2 linked regions of the Canis lupus familiaris genome follow. The protein of the gene in region 1 interacts with the protein of each later gene in a biochemical or structural test. Links are inferred from orthologs where the notes say so. Each region holds a gene or a part of one and is shown in the gene's direction. Other genes may lie near its edges.

What was found.
Region 2: the proteins of PPFIA1 (region 1) and GIT1 form a complex in vitro, tested with the Homo sapiens proteins (2 studies listed by BioGRID). The link is inferred for Canis lupus familiaris from reciprocal best matches to the Homo sapiens genes PPFIA1 and GIT1.

Annotation. Positions count from the first base shown.
Region 1 is NC_049239.1:48,513,469-48,517,373, reverse strand, and holds the start of PPFIA1 (liprin-alpha-1), read left to right. Parts: upstream 1-1,196; 5' UTR 1,197-1,290; intron 1,291-2,558; coding exon 2,559-2,822; intron 2,823-3,905. UniProt on the Homo sapiens protein: May regulate the disassembly of focal adhesions. May localize receptor-like tyrosine phosphatases type 2A at specific sites on the plasma membrane, possibly regulating their interaction with the extracellular environment and their association with substrates.
Region 2 is NC_049230.1:43,647,280-43,651,078, reverse strand, and holds the end of GIT1 (ARF GTPase-activating protein GIT1), read left to right. Parts: coding exon 1-24; intron 25-148; coding exon 149-379; intron 380-469; coding exon 470-523; intron 524-716; coding exon 717-803; intron 804-942; coding exon 943-1,016; intron 1,017-1,120; coding exon 1,121-1,303; intron 1,304-1,422; coding exon 1,423-1,486; intron 1,487-1,623; coding exon 1,624-1,836; 3' UTR 1,837-3,028; downstream 3,029-3,799. Other genes in the region: TP53I13 (tumor protein p53-inducible protein 13), read right to left, coding at 3,648-3,760. UniProt on the Homo sapiens protein: GTPase-activating protein for ADP ribosylation factor family members, including ARF1.

The DNA of each region.
Region 1 (3,905 bases):
CATCATGAGAGAGCTGAGGCTGGTGGGCACATTTGTAAAAACACGACCCTGGCCATAGTACTGGTCTATCTATCCCCTCCCCTCCCACATTCCTGGGTTTTCTTTATCAAGCCTTCGACGGGAGAGTTGGAGCAAAACCATTTTAGGGAAAATGGCTCGTTTTCTTGACTAAGCCTTACAAGGGTGCCACTCCATCTCTAAAACAGGTTTTGGATAAATACTTTGGGGAAATAGTTTAGTTGGGTGGTATAGGTACACAGAAAAGGCATTTTAGCTTCCCAAAAGCTATTTTCCATGATTTATGTTTGCCTAGGTTTTACTAAAGGAACATTTATTGGGGGGGTGGGGGAGGGAGGGGGCTTCCCTAATGATAAAAATAATGTGCATTCATGATGTAGTACCTGGAAAGCACAAAGTAGCCCAAAGAAGGAAATGAATGAGTGAGTATGAATAAGGACGTGAATGGAGCCGCCCCCCGTGGGATCCCACTTGCTCTAGCAGCCCAGGAGTAAGGCCGTGTCGTTTTCACATCATACAGGTGGGGCGCTGAGCGCCGCGGGCTCCGCTGACCTGCCCAGGCCACCGCGCAGGGGCGAGCCTGCACTCCCCACGCCGCGCCCAGGAATCTCCGCATCAAACGGTGCCCACTGGGCATCCGCAGGAATCGCAGGTAAGGGCCCCGCGTAGACGCCGCGACCTTCTGAGTCCTGGAACGGTCGGTCCCGAGGAGGGTCCGACCCCGAGGAGGCAGCCAGCAGGTGTCTCGCGCCGGGGCGCACCCGCCTCGAGGAAGGCGCTGGCTCAGAACCCGACGCACGGTAGACGTTGCCAACGGCCTCTGGGCGGCCGGAGCCGCGGTAGGTGAGCTCCGGCTCGGTGGAGAAGGCCCCTACCTGGGGGGCGGGGCCGGGGGCGGGGCTCCGCCCGCACCTGGCCAATGGGCGCCGGGGGACCCGCCCCGCCCCTCGAGTGGGCGGGGCTTGCGCGCCCGGCCTCCGCGGCGCTCCCCAACCCCCGGGGGGCGGGGCCGGCCGGCGGCGCTCGGCGCTGACGCTGCGCCGACGCGCCCGACGTCGGGCACGTTGACGCCGGCGACGCGCAGCCGGGCCCGCTCCTCCTGCGCTCAGGCAGTGTCCGGCCGCGGGCCGGCCTTGGTGACTGGGGGCTGCGGGCCCGGGGCCGGCGGGCGCGGGCGCGGGCCGCTTTCGTCGGGCCCCGAGCTCGCCCGGAGCGAGCAGCCGCCCGCACGGCGCCGCGGAGCCTCCTCGCCCGCTCCCGCCGGCGAGCAAGGTAAGGAGCGGGAGACTGAGGCAGGCTGGGGCGGAGCGGGGCGGAGCGGGGCCGCGGGCGCCCGGGCGCCGGCCCCTCCCCGCGGCGGCCCCCTCCCCGCGGCGGCGCTCGCTGTCAGCCCCCGGGCGCGGAGGCGGTGGGCCCCGGCGGGGCGCCCCGAGGCCGGGCTCCTGGGGCCGCGGCGCCCCGGGGGCCCCGGGTCAGCCCCGGGTCAGCCCCGGGTCAGCCCCGGGTCAGCCCCGCGCCGGGCTCGGGGGCCGAGGACCTGTGGCCGGGGAAGCCGCGGCCCGGGCTGCGCTCCAGCTGTCAGCGGTGCCCCGCGGTCCGGGGTCCGGGGTCCGGGGCCCGGGGCCCTGCAGCGCGGCGCTGGGCGAGGGGCGAGGAGGTCGCGGCGGTCGCGGCGGTCGCGGCGTCGCCGCCCCCGGGGCTCCAGCCTCCTCCCGCGGCGCCCGCCTGCTGTGGGCCTCGCTGGCGGCGTCTCCTTCTCCCCTTTCCCTTCTCCTCCGTCCTCCTCCCTGTCCTTTCTTCCGTCTTGCTTCCTCCTCCGCTCCCTCCTAGCCGTCCGCGGCCGCACCGACCTGCTCCATGCCCGGTGTGCAAGTTTCCTTTCTAATACTCTTTTCTTTTTTTCCCTCCGGCCGTAAACTTACGTAAGTTGGGTTGCCTGACCGTCACACCTTTTGCAGCCACTGACAAACACCTTTCCCGGCCCTTAACGAATCCGGTGCCTTTGAGCGCTCACCCAGTCCGGCCCGAAGCCGAGGGAGCCGCCAGTCCTCCTCGGGAGCTGACTGCACACATTCCTCCAAGATGCCTGATGCATTTTGTACTTGTCAGTTTTACTGGCTGTATGCTCCTTCTGTGCTTTTCCCGAAACATGATTGGGTGGCATGTGTTTTGACTTTCTCTCCCCGAACCGGGAAATAAAGGGGAAAAAGTAAGTTGCAGAAGCACACTTGTTTTCAACAACCAGAAAGTACAGCTTTGCAGACAAAACGCCCCAGGGTTGGTTCTGTACTCCAGGGGTAGTCTGTGAGGTCTCTACCCTGCCCTGCACTATCCCACGTATTAATCTGTTCCCACACTCAGGATTCGCCTGTGTATGTTTTTTTCCGCTTACTTATACTCAGAGTGTAACAGTCGGATCTGAGAATAACGAGGCTGTCAACCTTCATTTTATGAGCAGCACGGAGAGCTAATAAAGTTGCAGGTTTGTGGGAGCCTTTATTTTGCACTTAATGACTGGAGTCTGGGTGTTTTATTTCAAGATGATGTGCGAGGTGATGCCGACCATCAGTGAAGCAGAAGGCCTGCCAGGAGGAAGTGGGAGCCGTGGGTCCAGCTCTCCTTCGCAGCCAGATGCAGATTCACATTTCGAACAGTTGATGGTGTCCATGCTGGAGGAGAGGGACCGTCTTCTGGACACGCTGAGAGAGACTCAGGAAACGCTGGCATTAACCCAGGGGAAGTTACATGAGGTCGGGCATGAAAGAGATTCCTTGCAGAGGCAGCTCAATACTGCACTTCCACAGGTATGGATGCCTTTCACCTGGAACTTTACAGATCTTTCTTTCCCCTTCTAAATTATGGTGTCACCTTTCATGGTGTTCATGTTTTACATGAGTCTGTGAAATGGTGGTTCTGGTTTTTTTTTTTAATTATTAAAGATTTAATTTCTTTATTCATGAGAGACAGAGAGAAAGAGAGAGAGAGAGAGAGAGAAGCAGGCTCCATGCAGGGAGCCCGAAGTGGGACTCGATCCCAGGTCTCCAGGATCACACCCTGGGCCGAAGGTGGCACTGAACTGCTGAGCCACCTGGGCTGCTTGTGGTTCTGGTGTCTGTAAGTCATGTGCAGAGAGGGTTCCCGAGGGTTGAACCTCTGAGGGAAGACAAGCTGTGGTGCACTATACTTAAACACCTCGTAACTCTTGTTCCTTTCTTCTGCCTTAATTTGGGACAGTGCTCCGAAGTTTTTGGACAAGGGCCATGAGGCATCCAAGCTGCGTGCTGCCTTCCATTCTGTCGTCTTAGGCCTTTCTTGCTCAACCTGTGTTTCTTATGGATTTTATCGCATTTCCCATTTTCTAATGAAATTTAATGGATAGATAGGATTGATTTCACAGGAAAGATAAAGATATTTTTACAGTCCACTTTTCTAAGAACACCTGTGTTTTATAAATGAAGTTTGTTGTGGAGGATATGAGACAGAGATTAATTCCTTCGGAACTTTCTTCTTGGCCGATGAGAATTGTAAGCTTGAAGTGACGCCGAAGCCATTAATCTTAGTATATGACATTTGGACTAGTTTCAAAGCCTCTCCTTGTGGAGCTGAGTGAGGACGTCATGATAGGTGAGGGTAGAGGGTAGAGGAAAGTGTAAGGCGAGTGGCACAGAGCATGCCGGAGACACAGAGGTTACTTGGGTGTTCACAGCCGCCTAGGTGCCACTTGAGTTACCCGTAATAGGCGCCTTTGTGGTCCTTTCAGGTAGGCCTGCATAAGCACATGCTTGTGCTCCCACCGTCGGTCTGCAGTGCTAAATTAGTAAATGAGTAATTGCCAGCCTGAATGCATTTCTTGGCTGTAGCTGGTTCTCCTGAAAGATTGATAAGCC
Region 2 (3,799 bases), on another chromosome or scaffold:
GAGCTCCGGAGGCTACAGAGGGAGGTAAGGGCAGCAGGCTTGGTGGGAGTGGGGCTTCTAGCATCCTGGTCCTAGAGGATCCCCTGCCCCCAGAGGTGGGGGTACTCCTGGAGCCTCTGGAGGTTCTGACACCACCGTGCGCTCTCAGATCCACAAGCTGCAGGCAGAGAACTTGCAGATTCGGCAGCCGCCGGGGCCAGTGCCCACACCCCCACTGCCCAGCGACAGAGCAGAACATACATCGATGGGGCCTGGTGGGAGTGCCCACCGCAGGGACCGCCAGGCCTTCTCCATGTATGAACCAGGCTCTGCCCTGAAGCCCTTTGGGGGCCCACCTGGGGACGAGCTTACCACCCGGCTACAGCCTTTCCACAGCACTGTGAGTTGCCTCTGGGTGTCAAGGATTGGGGGAAACAGGGTTGGAGCTGCCATAGGGTCCTCTGTGATGCCTATTGTGCCATCCCCCCAGGAGCTGGAGGATGATGCCATCTATTCAGTACACGTCCCTGCTGGCCTTTACCGGGTAAGCAGGGCTTGGGGGAAGTGGATCCATTTCTGCAGATTGGTTCTTAGTCCCAGTGGGTGCCAGGTTTTGTGCCAGCTGCTGGGCACAGGGATGACTAGATACACGTGTCACCCCCCTCCTCCTTACTGCTGGGAAACTGGAAGACAGGTGGCAGGGAGGAAGAACTGACTCCAGTCCCCCTGGGTTTCAGATCCGGAAGGGGGTGTCAGCCTCAGCTGTGCCCTTCACTCCCTCCTCCCCACTGCTGTCCTGTTCCCAGGAAGGAAGCCGTCACACGGTAACATTCCCATTCCCAGTTCCCATCACTAGTGCCCGAGGGACAGGCTGAATGAGATGTGTGCATGGAAACGGACAGGCCAGGCCATGTGGGTCTATGAACATGTATGTCACCTACTACCCCTTCCCTGATCCTCCAGAGCAAGCTTTCCCGCCACGGCAGCGGTGCTGACAGTGACTATGAGAACACGCAAAGTGGGGACCCGCTGCTTGGGTGAGGCACCCCAGGGAAGAAGGCTGAGTGGGTGCTGGAGTGTCTGGGAGGGTGCAGGCAAGCAGCCTCACCACTGGAATATCTCTTTCTAACCCTGACCTCAGACTGGAAGGGAAGAGGTTTCTTGAGCTGGGCAAGGAAGAAGACTTCCACCCAGAGTTGGAGAGCCTGGACGGAGATCTCGACCCTGGACTTCCCAGCACAGAGGATGTCATCCTGAAGACGGAACAGGTCACCAAGAACATTCAGGAATTGTTGCGGGCTGCCCAAGAATTCAAGCATGACAGGTATGCGGGTGGGATGCAAGGCTCCTAGCAGCCCCTGGGCATTGGAGAGGGTAAGAGGGGGCCACTGTTCCACTGTCGCTGCAAACTCTCCTAATTTTTACCCTCCCCTCCTCCCAAAGCTTTGTGCCCTGCTCAGAGAAGATCCATTTGGCTGTGACTGAGATGGCCTCTCTCTTCCCAAAGGTACTGGGGCCAGAAAGTCTTGGGGTGGGGCAGGTACAGGGAATGTGACTGCTACCTAGGTGGAGATGAGGACACACTGGGCCATGTTCGAGGCTCATTGTTTGAAGTTCAAGGCCCAACTCCTGCCTCCCCTCCAGAGGCCAGCCCTGGAGCCTGTGCGCAGCTCACTGCGGCTGCTCAATGCCAGCGCCTACCGGCTGCAGAGTGAATGCCGGAAGACCGTGCCCCCAGAGCCCGGTGCCCCTGTGGACTTCCAGCTGCTGACTCAGCAGGTGATCCAGTGCGCCTATGACATCGCCAAGGCCGCCAAGCAGCTGGTTACCATCACCACCCGAGAAAAGAAGCAGTGACAACTCTCCCTGCACCCTCACCTGCACCCTGGGACCTCACTGGCCATGGGAGCTGGGCCACTCCAGACACTAATCCCCACCCTCACAGAGCTGCTGGCACAAGTACCCTCAGTGCTGCCACCCTCCCCTGGCAGCCAGGTGCCCCGGTGCCCGCCTTCCTCGAGCCCCCCAAGGATAGGGAGGTGGGGTAGCAGGAGCTTCTGTCCCCCACATTCCACACACCTCCTCCTGTACATAGCATTCCCCTCCCCCCCTTCTAGCGTGCAGGGGCCTGTAAGGTATCACTCCCAGCCCCTGGCCCTCTGGGGCACCCCCAGCAGAGGGTCGGGTAGGGACACTCCAAGTAGGACGGTTCCCCCTACAGGCACCCCACCCCCATGAGCCAGTTCAGCCCTACTGGGGGCTGAACGGGGGCATCTCTTCCTTTGTACATAATCTCTGTGGATGTCCCCCCATCCTGTAGCCACCAGCCCCCCTGCTGCTGTCCTTGAATGCCAAATGGCCCCTGCCGAGATCACTGGCCCCAGCCTGTGTTCCCAGGGTCCCTAGCAGCAAACAAACACTGGAAAATGTTTTTTTTTTCTCTCTCTCTTCCACTCCTTAATTTTAACATTGTGGTAACTGAGTGTCCCTGCGTGCTTGTGTGTGAGTGTGCGGGGCGGCAGTGCCGTTCCGGAGGCCTGGCCCATCTGGAGTTCTATGAAGGGTGAGGGGACCAGAACAGCAGGACCAGTGTTGGGGATCATCCCCCCTTCCCCATCCTGGGGCCAGGGACTGCTGGTAACCAGCTGGGGTCCAACCCATCACCTCCCCTCATCTGTCCCCCCACTCCTACCCCTTTCTCTATGAACTTCTAACAAAAACCACTTCCCTACATTTCTCCACCCCCTCCCTTGTGGAGGAGGATGTGCTGGCTGGGGCAGAGAACTAAGCGTCTGAGCCTGGGGCTGGCTCCCCGGGGTCCCTGACTCAGCTGAGAGCCCCCTTCCCATAACCTCTGAGAGGCCAGCACCTGCCCTGTGGTATCTGGGTATCTGGAATCTGAGCTGCAGCCTGGGAGCTGGAGAGGCAGATGGCAGTGCCTACCAGCTCTCCCTGTCCCCCTGGGGCCAGGCTCTACCTGTGTGGTGGTGGGTGGGCTGTCAAGACATGTGTCATGTACATTTGTATCAAAAATAAATAAGTGACCGTGTGCTCTTGCTGATGCTTACAGAATCGGAGGGAGCAGGGGGTATTGGGGAGGTGGCAGACACAAAAGGGAGAAAAAAACCTGGCAAGAGCATGAAGCAAATGAAGACCACAACTGTTCCAGACCTGAAACTCGAAAGCCCTTGTGTTCTAGAAAAGGAGCTGGGAAATAAGGTTTCAGTCGCTAACGCTGCCTCCCCCTCCCCATCATGGCAGCAGGTCGGGTTCTATCCCACTACTAAAACTGGCCAAGGCCAAGTGGGCAGGTGGAGGCAGGCTGGTGGGGGCCTAATGATTTTTTGGTAAAAGCCCACTTCAATGGCCCGGAACAGGGTCCTAGGTGGGAGTGTCTGTGTGGCAGATGCACCAGCTCAGCCCCAGACTCTACCAAAATAATTTAATTAGAAATACAGGCAAGGGAGGCTGTGGGCCCCTTCCCTCAACCCTCGGTAGCAAGCCACACCGGAGGCGGAGGGACAAGCCCCTTTGCGATGCTTAGGCGGGAAGCGCTCCGGCCGGCCGCCAGGGGGCGGTCCCGCGCAGGGTCCACGTGGCAGAGGTCGCGGCCTCCTGGGCAAAGGTCCCCTTCACCACCACCACTGCAGTGGCAGGGCTGGGGCAGGTCAGTCGGAGCTGTCCCCGTCTGGGCCGCTGTCCGGCGAGGGCGGGAGAAGGGGTCTCCGGCGGGAGCGCTTGAGCCGGCGTGGGGGCAAGAGCAGCCTCCGCTTCAGCACAGCTGTGGGCGGGGTGGGGCGATCAGGGAATGGCAGGAGTG